Linked DNA regions of Schizosaccharomyces pombe. The protein of the gene in region 2 purifies or fractionates together with the protein of the main gene of each other region. This does not show direct contact. Each region holds a gene or a part of one and is shown on either strand. Other genes may lie near its edges.

Region 1 (9,294 bases), on a different chromosome or scaffold from region 2:
CAAAGCTAAGCAATTTTTGAAATTATTTGCAGTTAAATCTATATATTGAATCATTCGTAAACGAGTTTGGAGAACTCATTTTGGAAAAGAGCAAGCATACAGCATGAATCCATACAGACCATATGTCGTGGTTAACAATGTTGAGCCTACTTTTTCGATAACTCCAGAACCAACGTTTGAGACGCAACCGACCATAAGCAAGAGTGAGATTTTTGAGACACTCAGAAGTATTCTAGTGACCAAATATTTAACGACGTTTTTTGTACAGCCATTGGAAGTAGCAAAAACTGTCTGTCAAGTAGAAGAATATTTACCAAAACGAACTAAAATTGAGCGTGATGGGAAACAAACAAAGGAGCCTTATGATGAGGATATTCCCGATGGCACAGAACAGGAAGGTCTCAGTGATGATGAACACGAAATCTATGCTTACTTTGAAACACCTACCACAGAAAAGGCAGTAACAGAACAGCTAGCTGAGAAACTTTGCGTCGATGCGTCTGGCTATGTAACTGATCCTTCGAATCTCATCGAGAGAAGCTATACAATTCATTCGAAAAGATTTTCGATTAAAAGTATCATTAGTGAGCTATGGGAGAAAGAAGGAGCTAGGGGTTTATGGAAAGGTCATACAATCAGCTTTTTGCATAACTTACTTTATTCCGGCCTACAGTCCTGGCTTTCGGCAACATTATCTGGAGCTCTCGCAATAGCAGATCCAAACATTATTTCACCTATAGATTCTGTTCGGCCTCTTCTTTCCCTTTTCATCAAATCCATTACTTCTGCGATCTCTGCTCTTATTCTATCTCCCCTTGATATTGCCAGAACAAAAATAATTCTTTTCCCCATTTCCTCATCTTCCTATTTGTCTTCAGCTTCTGAAACTTCTGGCAATTCGCATAAAAAATTTAAACCTCTTACTATCAGACAATGCTTGAAAGCATTGCCTTTTTACTGCCCTTCATCGTTAATTTTACCCACAGTTTGTTATGTCAGCTTACCACCATTTGTTTCGAGTGTGCTTCCACTAACATTCCGCAACTTTTTGGGCTCATCTCCTACACTTGATGCAATGGTTGGCTTGGGCACTTCAGCCGTTCAATTTCTTCTCAAATGCCCTTTAGAAATGGTACTTCGAAGAGCACAAGCCCAGTATGAATGCAACCTTCCACCCCAAACTATCGTTCCCGTAGGCAAATACACTGGTATCGTCGGTACCATATGGTGTCTTTTAAGCGAAGAAGATCCGGGTAAATTTGGAATAGAAGGTTTGTATCGTGGATGGCGAGTGGGTATTTGGGGAATGTCGAGTACCTTAGCATTGAACTACATCTCCTCTAATTTGCGTGAAGAAGTTGAATTTTAGTATTCAGGTTTTGGGTCTGATTGTCTGTTTATTAGACAAAGTCAGAAGAGACGAAAGTTCACATGGTAAATTACGGAATTCTCAAAAAGGTTTTAGTTAGGTGATGTTTTGTAATTTGGAATTTTTTTTATTCCAAATTACTACACGAATAGTCATATTTGTAGTTGTAAGTTTGATTTATGTTTAATGTTTTCGTTTTTCTTTCTTACCGTATTCTCTAACGGAATAGTAGTAGCTACATAATTTATTAAAGGTAATAATACATTTTCTAGAAGCAAAAACGTAGTTATGTGAAAATACGTTGGTGTTTCCTTTAGCAAGGTTGCATAACGCCAGCATTCAATAAAAAGGACTTCAACGTCGCATTGAGATCTCTTACACGAGACTTCATAGTGTTATTCAAGTATAGCTGCTCGTTCAATTTATAAACAGTATAAAAAATGAGGCAACCCAAATCCTTACAATGCTTTAATTTTCTAATTTACAACACTGCACGGAAAGTTGAATCTCTAAAGACTTTATGCTTTTTTATTACTTTTTTATATAGTTTGAATTGCAATCAATAACAACTGGCGCCATCATTTTGCTATCTAACACGTTGAATTACGGGCCATGTCATGTCAAAAACCCTTCTTGCTTTTCAAAAAAAAAAAAAAGAAAAAAAAGGAATTAAGTAAACTTCTCAAGTAACAGGGATAAATAACATCCACAATTAAGTCAATAGTAAAAGATACCAAATATATAATTCCTTTCATATTTTAAAGTTCTAAGCTTAAATACGTTTTTGCTGAAGAATATCATAGTTCTTCCTCCTCCATAGTAGGCATATCGACAGGTTTGATCATACCAGGAACAGTCATAGCTTTCTCCAGTTGGGCTTTTTGTTGAGCAGCCAACTCTTGTTCTTTCTCCTCCAAGTAAAGTTCAGCGTTATCCCCGCCGAATTCTTTCAATTGAATTAAAAAGTCACGTAAAGCAAGTTTAAATTTGATGCTGTCCTGATTAAGAGCTAGCACTGTCTGTACAAATTCTTGGATTTGGATAGGTTGAAGATGGGGGAAAGCTGTGACTAGTAGATTCATGATATACTGTCTTAAAAATAATTGATTGTTCATTTCCTGGGGGAATTGAGAAGGATCGTAGAGAGGTACAGTAATCTGGTTTGATTCAACCAGATAGAAAAGCCGAGCCAAAATTAAGCTTTGAAGCTTAAAGCCAGATTTGTGATCAGAGTCAGTCAAAACATACAATATATCTTGTAGTAAGCTAATATAATAAGTTTGGAAAAATGCATTTGAAACATCAGGTCCCATACTCGCCATGTTATTAATAAGTTCAAGTAAGATGTTAAGTCCGGTTTCTTGAATGTCGCGACTAACATGCTTAAAGGACCATACAATACTATTGATCACTAGTTTGAATTGTGGTGCCGGGATGTTGAGCAAAGCGGGGAAACAATTCAAGTTAATGGCGCGTAAAAGTTGAAAAAATGCTGCACGATGTTCGGGGTATTCCGAAAAATCTTTACTAATCATTTCAAGGGTGCATCCAAAAACAGCATCAAGAACAAGAGGAATCTTATCAGTAAGGAGTTCGCTAAGTTGATTGACAATGGTGGTTATCAAATTAAGAACTTCGGCATCACGAGCGTCAGGAACATTTTGTAAATAATCAAGCAACACTGCTTCGAAAAGCGCAGGAATGAGAGTATTTCCGACCAACTCCAAATCTTCCGCTCGACTTATATAAGCATCTACTAATTTCAAAATTTCTTTTTTGATAGTTCGTAATCCCCTGACGTGGGGAGTTTTGGTAGCAATATTTCCTTGGGCAGCAACCACTTCTGATATTAAACCGCTAACAGCCTTGTAAAGACCAAGCATATCTACATAATTTTTAGCAATTTGAGGATAGAAACCGGAACCAATAGAAGTACATGCAGCAACGTTTGTCTTTAGAACATTTGCTAATATTTTAACGGTCTGAGGGTCCCCTAAAACTTGAGCGTTTTGTGCAGCCTGAGCGACAATATTTTCCCAGGCCTGATTGGGTAACGCCATAAGGTCAAAAATGAGACGTTCTTGAAGATGTTTTTGAGGTTGAGCAGAAATCATATAACCGCACGCCTCATAAAAAGTATGAGTCTGTTGAGGAGTTAAATCTTCAGTCGTCTTGGCCAAGTTACGAATAATTTCGTTGATAAACGGCTCCGTTTCTCCCAGTTGTTGAGCAACAAAATGGCGACGACATTTTTGAGCAATCTTAATGAATGTATCACAAGCCATATCCTGAACACCTTCATGATATTCGTGCATAAACTCAAATAGCTTATTGACGACGGTCTTGAGAAATTTCCAATGAGCTTTTAAAAAGCGAGGATATTGACCTACAACGTACATAATGTTAGAGGCAACAACAGCCTTATTATCTTTGCCACGTTTCATTTCACAAAGGCCCAATAAATCTTTAATCACGTTAACAAGAAAGCGCTTTTCCATTTCTTCATTCATAGCACCGGATATTGAGCCGATTGCCCAACAAAGAGTATTCAAATTTTGCCAAGACCATTCTGTACCAACAACAATACGTGCAAGTTTTTCAGTCATAACGATTTCAGTATCAACCACGTCCAAGTGAGTGAGGTACACAAGAACCTCACGCATAGATTTATAAAGGGTAATTGTATCCGTCTCTTTAACAAATTCACGAACAATTTCACCTTCGTCATTTTCGACGATGAGGACTTCTTCGGGCTTGACCATGTTTTCAATCATAACCAATCGAAGAGTTGAAAGTATATCTTTATAGATATGTTTCCTTAAAGGAAGATTGGCTAACATATTAGGATTAGAAGAAATGAGAGATGTAGGACTAGAAAGATTAAGTAATGGATTCATTTCAGACATGGGGATTTGCTGCATTTCTTCATAAAGCTGAGCTACTAATTTTGACCAATATTCCAGGCAGATCTTGAAAATTTCTCGCTCGTTAATTCGCGAGATATTAAGAAGGTAGGAATGAGCATTAAGAAGGACTTCTTGATTTTCAGGATTTTCTAATGGTCGAAGATGAGAGCTAAAGAAAGCGCAAAGGAAGAGAGCCAAATTTTGGATAAAGTCTTGCTCGTTTGTGCTACTTTCTTCATAAGCCTCACGAAAATCAGTTTGTAAAGGAAGCATAGAATTAACAGAGGTCATCACAAGGTTAAACATTGTAACAAATTTATCGTTGTACTGAGGTTGAGAAGTAAGACTAGCTATTTCGGTAAGACATTCAATGGTAACGTTTCTAAAATCAGGAACATTTAGGAATCGATTTGTAATTAACTCAACAATGTTTGTTTCAAATATATAGCCAAGGGGTATCCAATTCAAAAATCGGAGAAGTGTTCCCAAGGTAGCCTTGATTAGGCTAGGTTTTTGCGCACGTTCGAGAATTTGTGAGCATAGTTGAAAAATCTCGGCGAATTCGCCACACATTTGGTTTTTTAAATTTTTGGTTTTGAGCTGAGTCATTTGCTCAGCTGAGTAATCAAAAATTTCTTCACTCAGAAGACGAAGGACTATCATGTTATTTTCACAAAGTGAAAGGTTTGTTTTACTGGCTTGGACAATTTCCGGGATGAAGTTGGGCCAATTATGAGGCCATTCTTGTTTAAGAATCTGAACGAGAGTGAGGTCCAATTTATTAAGAAAAGTTTTTTGTTGTTGCAGGACAGTTTCGTCTGACGAGTTCTTTATCATAACAGCAACAATATAATTGCGAATTCCCAATCGCTGCTCCTTGGGAAGCATTTTCCAACGAGTGGTGATAAGCTTGTCAAGGACGGAAAGAGCGATATATTTAGTTTGGGGATATTCTGATTTTTCCAAGATGGAGTAAGCCTGCGACCATGCATCTGGATGTGCCTGAAATTGGGTCAGGACTTGTTGAGCCTGTTGTTGCTCTGCACCGACACCTTGGTAAAAGGTTTGGACAACACGATCCAAAAGGGCAACGTCTAATTCGCGATCGAATGCCAGGATGCCCTCCATATTTACAAATCAAAAAGCAAAAAATGTAAATTGATGGTTGGCAACGTATTGAACAAATGTCTTAAGTAAAAAGAAAAGGATAATTACCTCAACCTTATGCGATTGTATATGTATAAAGGACTTCAGCAATCAAGTTAGAAATTTGAAAAAAAAAATAAAAAAAAGTAGAAGAAAAATTAATTTTATCGAATAGAAACAAAATAATATAAATTTTTAATCTCCTACTTGCTGATTAATTACTCCTCCCTTGCAAAAATAATAGAGAAAAAACAATAATTAACTCAAACAAGAGATCGAAGAACAGGAAATCGAAAGATAACAAGATCCTTCCTAAAAGAAGACCAAGGAAAATAACACGTATCTACACGAGCGTTCAAAGTGCTTACCTCCTTACTATAAATAAAAACCAAATAAATATTCCAAATTCTCTTGTTTATAACGAAATTCCTCGTCCCAAGAGATGCTTCACGCGATAGAAATTTGTCTTGTACTCAATGGAAACAAGAGAATGAAAGAATGTATACAGTTAAAGGCTACTGCCTAACGTCCCAGGGTAGAAATGCAAAAGAACAAGTGTTGTGTTGGAGGTAAAAGGTGTGGCCGCAAGGCTGGCAAAGAAACACGAAGAAGAATAGCAAGCATGCAGCGTATCCAATCGTTTTGCGTTATCTATTTTAAGGAAATTTAACAACGTGATTATAGGCAGAAATTGATGGGAATGAAGTAAACATAAAATGGAACGAGAATGATGGCGATAAAACTGAGTGTATCAGCAGATTGCAATTTTTTAAAAAAATGGTATTAGTTTTGAAACAAAATTTACTTCCTCCGGTAAGACGTTCGGTCGTTTCCGTGAATGGGAGAAATGCGGTAAGAATTTGATCGTAACGTCCGCGTTTAAACCAGAAATAAATGTGTCGTACGTGGATTTTTCTGTTTGTTTGTTTTGAAGTATTTAGCAAAGACAGGTCATTTGAAAAACATCAATTTATTTTTTTAAATTTTTTTATTATGAATTATTAGGTATTTTATGGTTTAATTATCAATTTACAAGTCAACGAGTAAATCAAAACAGAAGGAAAGTTTATCATTCAGTAAATTAAAAATTGTTATGAATTTAAAAAAATTGAATTACAGCTAGAATCATGTTTCCAAATTATTTTAACCAAGTTTATGGAACATCGGCACGAAATAATATACTTATTACTAAAGATTTGCCATTTCATTGTGCTTTAGTAATTCGCCTTTTTTGCTTTAACTCCTATAGCCACACAACAAAGATGTTGCTTATGTAAATAAAGGCGACTTTCCGTATGAAATGCTTCGCGGTTACAGCCACAATTCTATATGGAAATAGAAAAGAATGAAAATTGAATTAAACTGATCATGTTCGTTATTAACTCGCAGTTACCCGACATTTAGTGTGTTAAATAAAGAAAAGGGAAGGAAAAAAAAATCATTAAACCAAATATTGACCTTTGGAGTTGGCATGGCTCTCAAGGTATAAAAAATCCAATGCATTTTTTTTAACTAATTTATACGATTTTAGTCAGGTTGTGTACATATACTCTAATAAACCCAGACAATTTACAGTACACGCAACTATTTTTATAGATATATACCTCTATTTAATTAGTTTGTACAATTAAGCGGCTATGCCCGAGTGGTCTAAGGGGGCAGATTTAAGAGGCTTCTGCCTTGATCCCTGCTGTTGTAAAACGCGAGAGTTCGAACCTCTCTGGCCGCATTATATTTTACATTTTTAAATGTAAAATTAACGTGTTTTTGATTTACAGTTGAACTAAATTTTTTTCAAATTTGTTGAACATTTTGCTTTTGTTTATTCTTTTTTTTTCTTCTTTTTCATTATTCTTATCTGCAACATTTCCTTATCAAGCACGAAGAAAATTTGAATTGATAGGCGCTTTCATCCGACCAGCACTGTCCTAAATATCGCATTTGTTTGCCAAAGCCCGTATATAAATTATGTATTTCGGTGACTTTTTGTAATACCGGTTTCTGCTTTTCTGTGATATGTTGAAGTAATAACATTTGTAGAAGTATTTATATAGACCATTTCTTACTTAATTCCCTGTAACAATTGTTGGATTCAATTCTGTGTTTTCCAATTACTCTGTTCTCACGGCTAATATTAATTTTATTACACATATATTCAGCAAAAAACAAAAACAAAACAAAATTAAATTAAGCATAGCATCAAGTGTGTGCCAAAAAATCGTCGTTTTCTATTTATTTTTTACTATTTTGTTTTGATATTCTATAAAGGTCAATTGCCAAGATACTCCCAGCTCTTCGTCTTTGCTTGCACATTATTCAAAACTCTGTGCATTCTATTGTTTGTATTTCAGTTAGTATTGTTATTGCTATCGATTTTCCCATCTAATTTTCAAAACAAATTAACACTGATTCTATCGGCCCTATTTACCCACCACTGCATATTTTTAAAATTCCTTAAATTCTTTTTCCTGGCTACTAATACGCCTAATAAATATTAAAGATAAAGAATTCCCTTTTAGATATTAGTTCTTGCTTTCTTTTTTTATACAAAATTTCTGTTTTTTTTTTCGAAACTCTTCTGTAACAACAATGACTGCTACATCTTTTCTTCACCAGGCAAAACAGCAACCCCATCATACTGAACCTTACATTAAAGCGCTTGAGGCTCGTGAATACATCATTGAACAAGTCCCCGAAGAGCTTTCCAAGCCCAAAGTTGCCATCATTTGCGGTAGCGGTTTGGGCACATTAGCCTCTGGATTGTCGGCTCCAGTTTATGAAGTTCCTTATGAAGATATTCCTCACTTTCATGTTTCCCATGTTCCAGGTCACGCATCCAAATTGTACTTTGCCTTTTTGGGCGAGAAACGCGTTCCCACTATGATTTTGGCTGGTCGTTACCACTCTTATGAGGGATATCCTATAGAAGCTACCACGTTTCCTGTTCGTCTTATGAAAGTCATGGGCGTTGAAGTCATGGTTGTTACCAACGCAGCTGGCGGCTTGAATCAAGGTTTCAAAGTTGGTGATTTGATGATTCTTAAAGATCACATCAATTTTCCTGGCCTCGCGGGCATGAACCCTCTCAGAGGCCCTAATGCACACGAATTTGGTGTACGTTTCCCCCCATTATCGGATGCTTATGATTTAGAATTACGAAAATTGGTTTACGATGCTGCCAAGGCTCACAAGGTTAGCCGTACAATTCACGAAGGTTGTTATGCATTTGTATCTGGTCCGTGTTTTGAGACTCGCGCTGAAAGTCGAATGCTTGCTCTTATGGGAGCTGATTGTGTCGGCATGTCTACGGTTCCCGAAGTAGTCGTTGCGCGTCATTGTGGTATTCGTGTTCTTGCCATTTCTTTGGTTACCAACAACGTTGTTGTTGAAGAGAGCCCCTCTGCCAAAGACTTAGTGGAGGTTGATTCGAATGTCATGTCTAAGGGTGCTGCAAATCACTTGGAGGTTTTGGAAGTTGGTATCGCTGCCGCGGCCGATGTTCGTACCATGGTGGAGACGATTGTCAATTTTATTTAATCACTCCTCTTTGACAATCTTTTTTATCCAGAATAAAAATTTCCTTTATCTGTTATACATCCTTTTAAGCTATTTTATTTATCTAACGTAGGATATATATCCTAGTCATTTCGCTTATTTTGATGTCTGTAAATTAGATGTTTTGTTGCCATTCAATATCTTTTCCAAAATATCCTTTTACTCATCAATAACCGTTTCTTGCTTTCTTTAAACGAACTCACTAGACAATATTTCCTAAATGTCGTTTGTGTTATTTTCCAAACACCAATTAGGAAATATTTGTTTTTAGTATACAAAGTTCCCTGGTCACCTCTAGACTTATTTTTTTATAGTTAA
Region 2 (6,642 bases):
ATAAAGTACTTGTATAGTTCCAAACACCACCCGGAGACCCCCTTCGCTCAAAAAGCGTGACCTGGTCAAACGCCTTTTCTGCTAACAGCGCTTTAGCCGTAACTAATCCAGAGGGACCAGCACCAATGATTGCAATTTTTCGAATTGTTGGAAGACACATAAGAACAAAAGAGAAAATGATAATTTTTTGATTAGTACCAAGTAAATTAAGATATTTTTTTTTCTGTACAAAGAATAACAGAATGAAACAATATCCAATTGTGAAGGAGTGTAATTGAATGAAAACTACACTTTATGTGCGTTTTATATCTTTGCACGTTCCGATTGTCCTCAATCTGCCAGGGGGCCTTGAAATCGCTGATAAAGCTATAGCTTATTGGCTAAAAAATAGAAGTGCTGGTTAGCGATACACATATTGAAGCCAGACACTATCTGTATATATAGTTTGTTATGGATTCAAAAACGCATCCGCTTTTCGCAACTTTAAACAATCTTTTCATCATACTCAATATTAAGCACGACTAAATTACAACATCCGATCAACATTTTAGTAATCCAAGTTCTGTTATAAGCGAGCCATATGACAAAAATGGGACATTTGAATTTCTCATTTAGAGCAAATTAAAATAATAAATGTAGTTTACACCTCTTGATGGATTTAATAATTAAGATCAAGCTGATATCCGAATGTAAATTTGACCTTGGCAACGGATTATCAAAGAGAAAATTTTTTTAGCGTCCAATGATAACAGCGTTTAAGAATTAGTTACTTATAAAGACCGAAGCGATCTTCCAGATAATGAATAGCAATACATTAGATGTGAACCTATTAATGTTGTTTAAAAGATCTAGTAAGGGCATTTTGAAAGGAAATCATGCTGATGAAAAAAAAATATATCTTTATCTTCCTAACACTTCTTGCAATGGCCATAAGAGAAAGTACGTCTCTGCTGCTCATACTTTTCAAGCATGTTGAATGCTTCAAAGTAAATGATTATAGTAATTTCCCAAATAAATATAGTTAGGTGACTTACTGACTCCGCCTAACGCGTAAGTTGGATTGTTGAAACAATTAAGCTCTTGCTGTTACAACGGTATAGCTTAATACCCAAATAATTACTTAAATGCTTTAAATCATCATAATACCAACAAACGTTCGTTTTTATAATCAGAGACAAGAAGATTTTAAGATTTGCAGGGAGGTATACTCATATATAAATTCATTGTATTTTAGAGTACTATCAATTATGTATCTCAAAGAGTATATAGTAATACATGAAATAAAAGTTTTTAAAGTTGAATTATAATTTGATGTTCTATAATTGGGGTGAATGCACCCTAATTGACAATAGAGAATTCTACGAAAAAAATCATGCATCCAGGATAGTCATATAGGATTTTGGTTAAAATTGGCAGCACAATATAGTTTTTGATGCAATTACAGTTAACATGCATAATACTTGTTTTGAAAAAAAGTTATGAATAAAAGCTCAATTGTAAGCACATCACAAAGAACGATTTTTAATCGTAATTGACGATATGTAATTTTGGATTTCATATAAAATTGTAACTACTTATTAAATGATCATTAGGGGAAATAGCGCACACTGTTTTATATCCTCTTCAAATTTACAAAATGAAATTAATCAATTTTAGCAATTTACCTATTTTATATGATTGAATTGAATTGAAAAAACCATGAGTTGATTATGACGCTGAAAGAAAGACATATAAGATCCTTAGGACACTACAACTCTTTCTACTTGAATGCGAAAGTGGATTGGTCTCACCAAAAGATTACCGTACACAAGAACTTCGGTGCTCTAGCAAGTTTTCTTTCAACCAGGGCAATTGCAAAACGAAGAAATTCTAGTGGTACACCACACTGTTAAAAAAAATTGACTAGCATATTAACATTGTTAGATTATTCACTTTTTAAATTTGGAAATACGAAGCTTCAAACATAAGCCATAATAAACACAGTGAAGGCTTTAGCATTAAATTTATTAAAAACACTGCTTAGCAGTTTGTAAAGTCAAATGTTTGCTATGAACATTTTGAGTAAAAATATAACAAAGATTTATTCTTTTCTATACAAATCAGAAAATATATAAAAACAAAACATATAGTGAAATTAACATATATAACAGAAAAGGAAGCAATGTAATGAACAAAGCGATCTAGACTAGAATATGTCAAGGAAACATACTTTACGACGTACAGCCAGTCTAGTGAGTAAAAAAAAAACACACTCTTAAAACAAATACCAAGAACACGAAAAATAAAATGTTGTAATATTTCTGAATGTATTGGTTCAAATACCAGTAGTGAACGTTAGTATTAACAGAAAGAAATCCAAAAAGAACGAAAATGCACAACGAATAAAATAGTATGAAGCAAGATAATTAAGTCCGAAAATAAAAATTCCGTACCATGGAAAAAGGTAATGGAGATCACTTACAAACAGAAAAGTCGCTGCTGAGATGCAATAACAAGAGGAGATGAGAGATGACAAAAACTTTTGGGAAACTTAGGAAGAAGAGGATATGGAAGTGACGGGACGAACATCGTTAAAATTTGGTTCCATGGTAGGAAGTTTGAAGGCGATTGAAGGACCTGCCTTTAACATCGGAGCAGACTTCGAGGACTTGTGTAAGTCAATAAGTAGTTGAGCATAAACCTTGGTTTCCTCGGATTCACGGACACGTTTAACAGATTTAGGGCTTCCAGAGTACAAACATCCTTCTACACTATTGCAAACACCACGTTTACGTATCTTCTCCATTACTGCTGGGTTTTCAGGTGTAAAATTAATTTCGTTTTGGGGAGACATAGATACACGAATTCTTCCATTTTCGGATGGAACGGACTTTGCATCTTTACTGTCACTATCCACACGAATTCTCTTGGCCGAATCACCCAAGAAGGCATGAGGATCTAGCTCAATGGGAATCTCTGTATAAACGGCATTCTTAGCACAGGGCGGCTCGACCGGATAATTGTACTGATTTACATAACGGTTTTCATTCTCAGTAGTCGCAGAATCTGGCTTGACAACTTCAGAGTTTACTTCGACTTCCTTGGGGCTATCCAAAGTAGAATTCTTCAACTGAGCCTGCAGCATCTCCAACTGCTCAAGCAGCTCGTTGTTCTCCTTCTGTAACTTTCCGATCGTATCCTGATATTGTTTTTCACGAACACGGAATTTGGCTTCCTCGACCGACAAAGCTGAAGTCGGCCCAGGTCTTGGTTTAATAGGTGCCTTTCTTCTTCCCAGAGCATCTAACGCAGGTTTCCTTCCTGGTTTGGGACGAGGAGGAACAACCCATTGTTTAGAGACGCGAATCATCGGCTTTTGAGGTGCTGGAGAAGCAGAAGATGATTTTTCCACTTCCGATGGACTTTTAGACGATTCCATGAGCAAAAAAAAAGTTGGGGGGATAGGAGATATCAAGTACAGAACTACACTTTTAGCAAAATATATAAATCTTTATTTTCCAATACTCCAATGCCTCTACTGACCAAGCTTAAAAATCTCACTTTTTCAAACGTTTGTCGTTGGTGGTTTGTTTTAATCTGATAAAGAGATACGATTAAATTATATCTGATCTAAGTGCCGTGTGGTTCGATGATTGTACTGTTAACCCGGTATGCAACACCTCGTTATATCTTTAAAGACTCAATTTTCGGGAAAAAACGGATTAGTGAACAGGTCGGCTTAGAGGCGCTGTTGACATACATTCTCAATACCCATCATTTCAGTTACAGAACCAATTAAAAAACGCGGGTATGGTGGACATCATCTGATTAAAACCGATCGACCTAATAAACTCTGGGCTCTGGCTATGTAATACTACAATCATTCGGCACACCAACTATCATAGTAATGCTTATCCATGTTACTTTTTTGGAGTTAAATTAATGTTCTGACTCACTGCTTTTCTCATGTCATACCGTCCTTTGAAGATTATTTAACATTTGTTTATATTTTTGATATAATGAGATGAAACGAAAGTGCACTAACACATGTGACTGTTTTTTGACTCCTAGTATATAAGAAATGTGAGTGAGTTAAAACAAAGCTTCATCTCACAAAATAATGAATTACTGATGTCAAAAAGTCTGCTCTCTTCTAACGCGGTTATAATATAGAACCGTATTAATGGTTGCAGCTTTTTCCTCTTCATGGAATCGGTATAGATTATGTCGGGGAGACCGACAGCATAGCTTAAAACCATCGTGAAGTCGTTGCTTCGTGCCATGGCTCGTGATGACCGAATGCTACGTACAGTTTTTATATTTTATATCATTTTTTAGTTTGATTTATGTTGTATTCAGTTATTGTTGTAGTTAAAATACGTTGTTTTAATAATTCACGTTGTTTCGTGCCTTCTCAATGAATATCATTTTTTTGTAAGCATCATATGTCTCATGTACAGTAGTGGTAAAAAGAATAAAGGTTGCTATGCACGCAAGGATGGAGTGAATGTATGGATACTTAGCTACTCAGTTTATCCAAATGGTTTCGATAAAACTTCAAGCACAATCTTAAATTAAAGTTACTTTGCAAATTCATCAACGGGATTGCGATTGTCGTGAAAAATTTAATTGATTATTAATAATTCAATTATAAAAATATGAAACAAAAGAGCTCGAAAAAACATTACTTATAAGAAAAATCGAAACAGCGCTAAAACATTTACTGTAAAGCTGAGGAACACCGAAAATAGCAAAATTTAAATCTTCAAGCTACTCGTACCCTGAATACTCAAGGCATATATAGTACCATTAGCTGATTACAACTCTTGAACCTATCATGATGTGCCTTGTTGTTCTTTCCCTTAAGTCTCTTTTCCCGAATTTTGTAGATCAGCAGCCTCCTCGATCTTTTCCTTAACATCTTTGCTGTCAACTTTTTCAGCCTTTTCATTTGCCTCTTTATTATCATCCTTCGCAGGCTTCTCGTTAGTGTCCTTACTGTCAGTCTGTTCGACTTTGTCCGCAGTTTCTTTGCTATCGGTCTTTTCCTCCTTGTCATCGACCTCTATACTATCAGTCTCCTTAGCCTTGACATCGGCCTCTTTACTTTCAGTTTCTTCGACCTTGTCCTCAGTTTCTTTGCTATCGGTCTTTTCATCCTTGTCATTGGCCTCTATACTATCAGTCTCCTTGGCTTTGACATCGGTCTCCGTTTTACCAGTGTCTTCATTTGTTATCTTTGTATCTTTCTCCTCAACATCCTTATGAAGACTAGCTTTGTTATTTTCGTCCTTACTCTCCTTTTCTTCCCCAACGTCAGATTTCTCTTCTAAATTGGCTTCCGAATCAGCATTCTTGGCTTCAGTTTTCTCAGAAATTTCAGCTGTATCAGACACATCGGATGCTCCTTTACCAACAGCAGGCTCATCAGTTTCGGTTTTTTCGGCTTCAACAGAGGTAGAGTCCTTTGGCTCAGATGTTAGTACCTTGGATTTAGCATTGGATGATCCCATTTGTTCTTCTGATACGGTCTCAAGCGTGCGAGCGGCTTGCTTTCGTGACTCGTCGGGTTTTTTTTCCACTACAACTTCCTTAGTGCTTGCAGTAGGCTTACTTGTGTCTTTTTTCATCTCTAACTCTTCATTGTAAGCTGATTCAAGATCACTATCATCGAGAGCAAAAGCAGAATTAGCGACTTCAATCGCACCATTGCTATCCAAAATGAAGGATTGTCCCTCCACAAAGGCGGCTGAAGAACTTGATTCTACGGAGCGACGGTTGGAGTTCAATGAAGATCGCCTCATCATTGGAGATGAAGATGATTCTAAGCGAAGTCTCTCAAAATCTTTCTCATTCAGCATGTGTGGATCAGATTCATATGGGGGAAGCGTAATGGCTGTTCCTGGTCGAGAGGGTTTACGACGTGGTAACGAAGGTGGTCGTTCTTCATATGCGGATTCCAAAGTAGCAGCAGTAGATCTTCTTGGAGAAGGATAAATTTTAGAAGGTGCAGAATACTTTTCATCATCATCGTCTTCTTCCTCACCATCAAATTTGGAAGCGATATTCTCCACCCATTCCATACTTCTTTGCTTAAATGATTGGAATCCACGCATAAATGTATCTTTGATGACTGGAAGATCGTCTTCAAAAAACGAATAATCATCTCCATCGTTGTCATTGGGCTTTGCTGTACGGTTTTGCGGAGGGTAATTCCTACGATCATTGTTTGTTTTGCGCCTACGTTCTGGACGATGGCTGTTGTAACGATTAGCAAGCTCTCTGGCACATCTCTCGTCTTCCTCAAGCTGTCGTTGCACTGGATCGTCATGTGCGGCTGTGTCATAAGCATAAGAAGTTTCAGCTTGTTCCATTTCTTCAGCAACTTGAGGATCACTCAAACCTATTATGGTTAGAAATGAACGTTGACTATTGCATTCATAAAACTTTTCAAGCACGATATTCTTTAGGGAGCAAACAAACGCGAACTATGAGCCACACTTTAAGATATCAAATGAAATCAATAAGGTAAAGCTTCAAAAACAAAGTGAATAGCACATTACAGATCGTTCACAGTACATCCCCAAAGACACGAAATATATGTGTAGCCTAATACTTACCAAGCAATGCGTTGAAAGCAGGCTCTAACTTATATCCGCTAGC

What was found.
Region 1: the proteins of php4 (region 2) and crm1 purify together in Schizosaccharomyces pombe (affinity purification with western blotting, with the first as the bait; one study listed by BioGRID). This does not show direct contact.

Annotation. Positions count from the first base shown.
Region 1 is NC_003424.3:2,800,617-2,809,910, reverse strand, and holds crm1 (karyopherin/importin beta family nuclear export signal receptor Crm1), read right to left. Parts: upstream 5,988-9,294; 5' UTR 5,790-5,987; intron 5,524-5,789; 5' UTR 5,404-5,523; coding exon 2,167-5,403; 3' UTR 1,658-2,166; downstream 1-1,657. Other genes in the region: transport protein Ugo1, read left to right, coding at 104-1,369; SPOM_SPAC1805.16C (purine nucleoside phosphorylase), read left to right, coding at 8,011-8,958.
Region 2 is NC_003423.3:1,913,320-1,919,961, forward strand, and holds php4 (CCAAT-binding factor complex repressor Php4), read right to left. Parts: upstream 3,574-6,642; 5' UTR 3,419-3,573; coding exon 2,531-3,418; 3' UTR 2,056-2,530; downstream 1-2,055. Other genes in the region: fmo1 (flavin dependent monooxygenase), read right to left, coding at 1-160; SPOM_SPBC16E9.02C (CUE domain protein ), read right to left, coding at 4,842-6,382, 6,600-6,642. UniProt on the Schizosaccharomyces pombe protein: Component of the transcription regulatory CCAAT-binding complex. Required for the reprogramming of the cell for iron use. Down-regulates pcl1, sdh4, and isa1 underlow-iron conditions.